Rattus norvegicus: one gene and its partner. The protein of the gene in region 2 interacts with the protein of the main gene of each other region in a biochemical or structural test. Links are inferred from orthologs where the notes say so. Each region holds a gene or a part of one and is shown on either strand. Other genes may lie near its edges. The genes, in order: Kin and Mettl22.

The links.
Region 1: of the proteins of Mettl22 (region 2) and Kin, one has a biochemical effect on the other in vitro, tested with the Homo sapiens proteins (2 studies listed by BioGRID). The link is inferred for Rattus norvegicus from reciprocal best matches to the Homo sapiens genes METTL22 and KIN.

Annotation. Positions count from the first base shown.
Region 1 is NC_086035.1:73,323,404-73,327,220, forward strand, and holds part of Kin (DNA/RNA-binding protein KIN17), read right to left. Parts: intron 2,533-3,817; coding exon 2,489-2,532; intron 2,404-2,488; coding exon 2,281-2,403; intron 767-2,280; coding exon 1-766. UniProt on the Homo sapiens protein: Involved in DNA replication and the cellular response to DNA damage. May participate in DNA replication factories and create a bridge between DNA replication and repair mediated by high molecular weight complexes.
Region 2 is NC_086028.1:7,620,242-7,624,058, forward strand, and holds the end of Mettl22 (methyltransferase-like protein 22), read right to left. Parts: intron 1,920-3,817; coding exon 1,751-1,919; intron 138-1,750; coding exon 102-137; 3' UTR 38-101; downstream 1-37. UniProt on the Homo sapiens protein: Protein N-lysine methyltransferase. Trimethylates KIN at Lys-135 (in vitro).

The DNA of each region.
Region 1 (3,817 bases), on a different chromosome or scaffold from region 2:
TCAAGTCTGCGCCCTTTCAAAGGTCCCGTTTCAATGACTATCGTGGCTGAAAAAGTCTTTTCATTGATGGACTCGAGGGTGCCTTCATTTCCTCTGTAGCCTCCGTTTAAAACTAGAACTCTTTTCCCTGGGGCTGGAATGACTGTCTCTAAATGAGTCTGGTCCAGTTTCAGCCTGTCTCCGGAGTCAGTCATCTTTACCACAGCTGTGTATCTGTCAATCACTTCCTTAACGACCCCTTTCTTCTTGTGGTATTTCTCCCCAAGCTTCTTCGTTATAATTTTCACAATGATCCCAGGCTGTAACCAGGAGTCTGTCCGTGCGGTCCTTTTCTTTTCCTCCTCAATCTCCATGATCTCATCCAGGGCAGACTTCTTCTTCTTCTTCGCAGGCTGAGCTGAGCTCTGTGAAGACTCTTTCCGCCTCACGGATGCTGTGCTCCCCAGCATCTTCAGTGCGCTCGGTCCCAGCGAGCTTGACTTGGACGTTGTTGCTCCCGCTGAGCTACCCGCTCCTTTATTCAGATTGAACGTGACCTTTTCTTCATCATTTTCTCGACTTAACTCTGTAAAGACAGGCGTCTCCTGCTCTTTCCCTTCTAGGCCTCTTCTCACCTGCTCCTCAATGAATTTGGCAGTTTTTTCTTCATCGTCAAGATCTTGCTTCTTCTTTTTTTCTAATTCCAGTTGCCGACGTATAGTTTCTGGGTCTCTGTCTATGTACTGAATGTACCAGCCTTTTGGTGTCTCATCCACTTTACACAAGCCTTAAAAAAAAAGTCAAAATGGCAGCATGACTATCTAGATCCAGAGTAAACTACCATGGAGAGTTCCCACCTCTGCACATTCACCCACTCAGTAACTCCAATCACTATCCACAATCACAAAGACCTGAGACAGGAGTTTCCACTTCCGTGCTCACACAACTGCACTGAGGTAACAGGTAACGAGAGACACAGAAGGAAATACTTTAGGAGCAGGAGCAACTATTCAACTACACCAGAGTCTCTGCTGTCTGATGAATATTAATCTGTTAACTCAGAATGAAGTCACATACTAAATAAGCAAAATATTGACACCAAGCTCCTGTCTTCCTAATTTCTCATCATGTAGAGATTAGAAATGAGAAAGAGCAAACTTGACCACTAACGTCAGGACAGAATGCGAAGCATTTCCTATGCCATAACCCTAACACTTAGGAGGCTGAAGCTGGAGTTCCAGGCCAACTTGGGATACATACTGAGTTCTAGAGGAGCTTGGAGTACAGTGTGAACAAACTACTGTCTCAACTAATGAAGAAAAAAAAAAGGAATGAAGGAAGGAAAGATAAATATGACCATAAGAAACAGTAGAAAGTTATTAGCAGTAATAACTTTTCTAATAATAACTTTTATTATGTTATTGTGTTATGTGTGATACACATGTTTATGTGTGGTGTGATGTGTGTATTTGTGTGATGTACACATATGTTTGTGTGGAGGTTGGAAATTTTCAATAATCTGAAAGGTGTGCCCTAAGGATCAATTTCAGGCCATCAGACTGATAACAGTTCTTACCCAAATGCAAACATTATGGTTCGGATACAAACGTCTCCCAGAGCTCATGTGCTGAGAGCTTGGTCTCCTTCATTGTCAAGTGACTGGATCTGCAGGCCCAGACTCCATCAGGGAATTAATCCATTCATGGACTCCTAATCTGAGAGCACCGTTGGGAGGTGGCAGAGACTAACAGGTAGGTCCTGGCAGGAGGGAGCAGGCCCCCATGCGCCATGCTCCAGAAGGGCACAGCTCACCGCAAACCCCTGGCCCCTTCTTTGCCTTGTCTCATGGTTCTGCTCCATCAGGTGCTCCCTGACACGATGCTTTCCCTCACTACGGCCTAGCAGCACAGGTGCCAAGTGGTCGTGAGCTGAATTCTCAGGAACTGGGAGTCGAAACAGATTGTTCTCGGGTGTTGTGTCACTGTGACGAAAGTGCCTATGTGCACTGTCAAAAGAAGTCCTCAGGCTGGCTACTGCAGCTTTAAAGTCTGTAAGCCCAGCACCCAGGAAGCAGAGGCAGGAACGTCGGAAGTTCCAGTGCAGCCTGGGCTATGTAAGGCCCAATTTCAAAAGGAAACAAAACAACGTAAGTGGCATATAGTAAGCTCACCTGAGGGACAGTACAGCCTCCTGCCTTTCTGATTGCTCTACATATCCTCCTTCTATAAAATCAGAAACAGGAAATGACGTCTCCCCTAGAAACTGAGCCATGGATCACCAGTTCCCGTTCGTTCTTCTTACCCTCTCTGCCCAGCCACTTGGTAAAGTCAGTCAGCGTCTCCCACTGAGTGGCGTTCATGTGGATGTGCTCTCGGTGGCTGATGTATTCATTGTAGACAATGTTGTTGTGGACTCTCTTAGTGCCTGAAAACAAAATATGACACTGTTGAGCCTGAAAAAACCCACACAATTATGAAATTATTATTTCTATAATATTTAAGATGGTTACCAAAGCGTCTTCTCAGAAGTTCCAGAAAGTCATTTCGGAATTCCCTAGTGAAGAAAGAAAGCCAGAGAGCCATTAAGGTACTGGCTACAAACATAATGTGCCATCTTCCTGAAGTCTGGGCAATCACAAACTTTAGTGACCAATCACCTACATTACCATGTGCCACAAACCTCTAAGAGAACAGAGAAAGATCTGCAAAGATTGGCTTTCGAAGGAAAGTGGTAAGTCAGCCTGGAGTTGAGCTGTCTGGCCTTAGTAAAGCTAGCACACGAGAGAGGATCCCCCCAGGGTCCCTGTGCCGATGACTCCAGTGTAACAATACACTCTGTCCAGGTGAGGAGGGACACACCTCACCTAAGCACTTCCAATAAAGCCAACTGAAAAGGAAAGTAAGAGGACATCATTAACAAATTTGAGAACATTATCAGAGGCGATTTTAATATGGACAGTGAACTATAACTCAAAGGTCAAAATGGAAGGCCATTGTTCCCGGTTAACAGTCATGAACACAGGGTGTTTGAGACATGACACTTAACCTACTTAGGCAGAAATCTGAGAAGAGAGATGAGGATGTGAGGAACTTCCCACAGTGAGAAGTTATGTCTGGAAGATGAGGTCTAGCCAAAGTTTTGAATCATCTTGAATGTCATGTTATATAGATCTAATTTTAGGCAGGCACTAGAAAACCATTCAAACTTAGTTTGAAAATTAGTAAGTTAAAACTGTAATTTGAAAGATGATCAGTATTATACTGTCCTAAAGAGGGGCTAGCAATATGGTTTAGCCAATAAGAGCACTGGCTGATCCTTGTGAGGACTCAGGTTTGATTCCCAGCAAACACACGGCTGCTCACAACTGTCTCTTACTGCAGTCCCAGGGGCTTCAACAGCCTCCTCTAGTCTCCATACAGGCAAGACACACACATACATAAAATAATCAAAGAAAAATGAAATAATAGTTACAAGAAAAAAAAAGCCAGATCACAAAGACAAATATGTTTTCTTTCATATGTAAAACCTAGATTTAAAGTTGTGTGTGTGTGTGTGTGTGTGTGTGTGTGTGTGTGTGTGTGTGTGAGAGAGAGAGAGAGAGAGAGAGAGAGAGAGAGAGAGGAAAATGAAGCTGATAGAAAACATGTGACATGACAAGAGAGGAGTACATTACTTGGGGGGAAGGGATGGGACGAGCAGTGGAGAAGGGAGGGAGGCAGGCCAGTAGGGAACTGTCAATTATGAGTAGAATAGCACATTTGAAAATGCCATGAGGAAACCCATTACTTTGCTTGCTATCTTAGAACAATGCAATCTATACACAAACCATGTACAAAAC
Region 2 (3,817 bases):
TCACTGTATTTAAAATGACAGCATCTCAGGGGCAAGATGGCTGAGGGTTTGTCTTTATTTGAAATACATTAAGATAATAGTCAAGAGGTCACAGAGGTGACTCATGCTGCTGGCTCGACCACAATCTTCCAGAGCTCCTGTAACAGAAACGAGAGAGTCTGAGGCTTCACAAAGCAGAGCCATACCACACCAGGGCAGGGCCAGGAGCTACTCCTTCCTGTCTTTGAGACTCTGGCCATTATACGGTGGCACAGTGGCTGGGTAGACCAATCTGGAACTAGCTACAGGATACTGGTTTGTCACATTGTCACAAGAGACAGGAATGGCAGCAAGTGGCCAGTCTTGCCATTTGGGGGCCTTAAGCACTGCAGTCTGCAGTACTCTACTTCCTAAGAAGGAACACAGGAAGCAGTGTGAGGAAGCTGGCCCTCTCCTGAGGACAAGGCCTGAGCTCCACAACCAAAAGGCAAAGGACACGAGATGCCAGATGGACTTCTGTGGACCCAGCTCCTGGTAATTTTCAGGGTAATTTTGGGTTTTCAGATTTACTCTAAGTGCTGGGTTTAGAAGCTGTAATAGCACGCGCTTTTGCTCTAAGATGCCATCCGACCCAGATCTGCCAGTTCCTGGCTGAGTGTGCTAAGACAGGGGACAAAGGTATGTGGCACTGACACATGCTGGCTACAACTGCAGCAGGATTATCAAGAGCTTAGTATGAGCCTTCGTGCTTGGCCAGAGGGGCAAGACTTCTTAGAGCAAATGTGACCATTAGCATCATGGTTAAAACCTTCAATCTGACAGGATCTACAATCACTGAGACAACCTCTGTGCGTGTCTATGGCAGAGTTTCTAGATTGGTAAACTAAGGTGGGAAGGCTCGTCCTGTACGTGGGTGGTGCTGTCCCAAGGGCTGGCCCTTGACTTGGTAAAAAGGAAAAAGGAACCGAGCGGCGTCAGTATCCACTCTCTGCTCTGACTGTGGATTAAGTCAGCAGCTGCTCTCACTCCTGCAGCTCTCATCCCGACTGTGAAGGGCTGCCCTCAAGGTGGGAGCCAGGTCAAAGTCCCCTTCCTCATGGTGAGGTCCTACCGTCCTCAGCACTCCAGATCCTTCCCTCTGACTTCCTGCTCCCCAACGACCCTCTGCCCTGTGCTGGTTTGAATTGGGAACGTCTCCCACAAGCTCATGTGTCTGAACACTTGGTTCCCATCTGGACACCCTGGTTAGGAAGCCTGTGAAGCCTTTAGGAGGTAGAGCCTTGCAGGAGGAAGAGGAAATGGGTCACTGTGTACAGGGTAGTCCTACTTCCTGTTCCCTGCTTCCTGAGACTAGACACAATGTGACCAGCTGCCACCTTCTCCTGTGGCCTAGTCTTCCCCGTCATGACGACTGTACCCTCTGGATATGAGCCAGAATAAGGCTGCTTTCTGGAGTTGCTTTGGCTACCCATGTCGCTTCAGTAGGGGGAGAGTAACTGGTGCTGCCCCCACCCCCACGCCTTCCTCTGGCGTCTTAACTGCCGTAGAGAACATGAGACTTAGTCACAGAGCTGCTGTGACCATGTGGCTGCTGAGAACAGGTTAACACCCCCTCCCCACCTTCAGAGATCACAGGGTTAGGCCTGCAGCTCCCCCGACCCTTGCTCCCCCTCAGAGATCGCAGGCCTAACCCCGTGGGGCAGACCGTAGATGGGAAGGTAGGCCTGCCCCACTGCTTTGCTTCCCACCACCCTCATGGGGCTGCATCTACCAGCTGCTGGATGCGCTCATAGCCGAGCAGCTGCGGGAAGGAGGTCTCTACAGGCTCCACCAGGAAGCGCAGTCGGCCATCAGCCAGCTTCTCCAGTGAGTCCAGGGAGGCACGGAAGTGATCGTAGGCTTCACACGTGACGTCCAAGTGTCTCAGTGTGAAGTTGAACCTGTGGATGGACCAGCAACAGCACACACATCATGGCCAGAAGAGCTCAGCTCCATCCTCACAGCTTGCTTCCTGCTCAGTGCATGATCTTGGGGCTGCCTTAGGTGTCTACGCTGCTCGCATCGCCAGACCGGCTACTGGCTCTGCTTCACAGATCCACATTATGGGAAGCTGACCTCAGCTGCCAAGATGGCACTCTGGGTACCAGTTCCTGCAAATGGATTCTGGGTGGATCTGCTGGCTGCGTGCTGAGGACTGGGCATGATTATGGGATTGGGAAACACCAGGCTGTGGCAGAGGGAGACACTGAACACACTGGGAACAAAGGCAGAGATGAGAGATGAGAGAGAGAGAGAGATGGGGGGCGTAGGGAGGAGGAAGAAAGACGGGGGAGGGGGAGGGGGAGGGGGAGGGGAAGGGAGGAGGAAGGGAAGGGAAGGGGAGGAGAAGGGAGGGGGAGGGGAAGGGAGGGAGAGAGGGAGGTAGCGCACACAGAGTTCTCTGGCACCACCATTTGTACCTTTGGACAGCAGAATCTGTAAAACAATTTACATTACATTCACCTTCTCCATTTGTCTCTCTTTTCTTTTTTTCTTCACATGTGTATGTAGCATACATGTGTGTGTTTCTATGTGTGTGTTTTCATGTGTTTATAGGGTATGTCTGTGAGTGTGTAAGTGTGGAGCCCAGAGGTTGGCATTCTCTTTTACCTTCTATGTTGACACAAGGCCTGCCTTGCACTTGCACCCAGGCTTGAGACCTGGAGGCCACCACACCTGCTGGCATTTTGATGGGTGCTGGGATGCTCATCCTTGTCTAACTAGTGTTCCACCTGCTGAACCAGCTCCATGACCCCTCCCTCCCTCCCTCCCTCCCTCCCTCCCTCCCTCCCTCCCTCCCTCCCTCCCTCCCTCCCTCCCTTCCTTCCTTCCTCAAATCTTTTATTGTGAAAAATCTCAAACATTCAAGCAATGGAGAACTGTGTAACCAGTTGCCACAGCCAGCTTCAGCCATTGCTGATTCTGGGCCACTCTGTCTCCCATTTTCCCAGAGTCCCTCCCATCTCACTCATTAACAAGCAAATGCCAGATGCCCCAGCAATTCTCCAGCAAATGTCTGCACATGTCTGGAAAAGATAACGATTCTTTCTTCAAAATGAAATTAACAACTTTTTGTTTGGTTCTTGTTTTTTGAGACAGGGTCTTTTGGCTGGTAATTTATTGGCCTGAAATTTACTATGTAGCTGAGGCTGGCCTGGAGCTCCCGACCCTCCGGTGCCATCTCCCAAGTGCCCAGCCAACTCTTTAAACATCATTTATAGAATTCAGGTTTTCCTGTCTGCCCCAAGTCTCTTGTTTACAAACTGTAGAGGGGGAATCAAGACAAGGGCCTCTCCTTCTTCTGGTCACTGTGTCTGAAGGAGAAGCCTGGTATAAACAAGCTGGGATGACAGCCCAAGGTTTAGCTCTGACTGAAAATCTGGTGTGGGAGCAGCAAAGCCAAAGTCAGGAGATGTTGTGCAGGGCCTAACACACGACACAAGGGCTGTGAGGGAATGCGTGGCTTCACAAGAGAACCCTCCTTCCTATTTTTATCACTAACCATTTCAACTTTTCATTTTTAAGTTTTGTGGAAGACACAGGAACACAGAAAACATCTTTCTCATAGAAAAACAGTAAAAGTGATGCTAACAACAGCAGGCCTTAACAACAACAGCCTGTGGGAGACAGCAGGAAGCAGGGCCAGTGGCCAGGGTACTGGCCTCAGGCAGGTCCCCTCCTGACACCATCTCACTGTGGCTTTGAGACCATCACCCTGATGTCTCACAACCTCCCTGCTCCATCTAACAATAGAGTCCAACAAAGACTAAAAGAGGGGAGGGAGAGGAGGGAAGTCCCA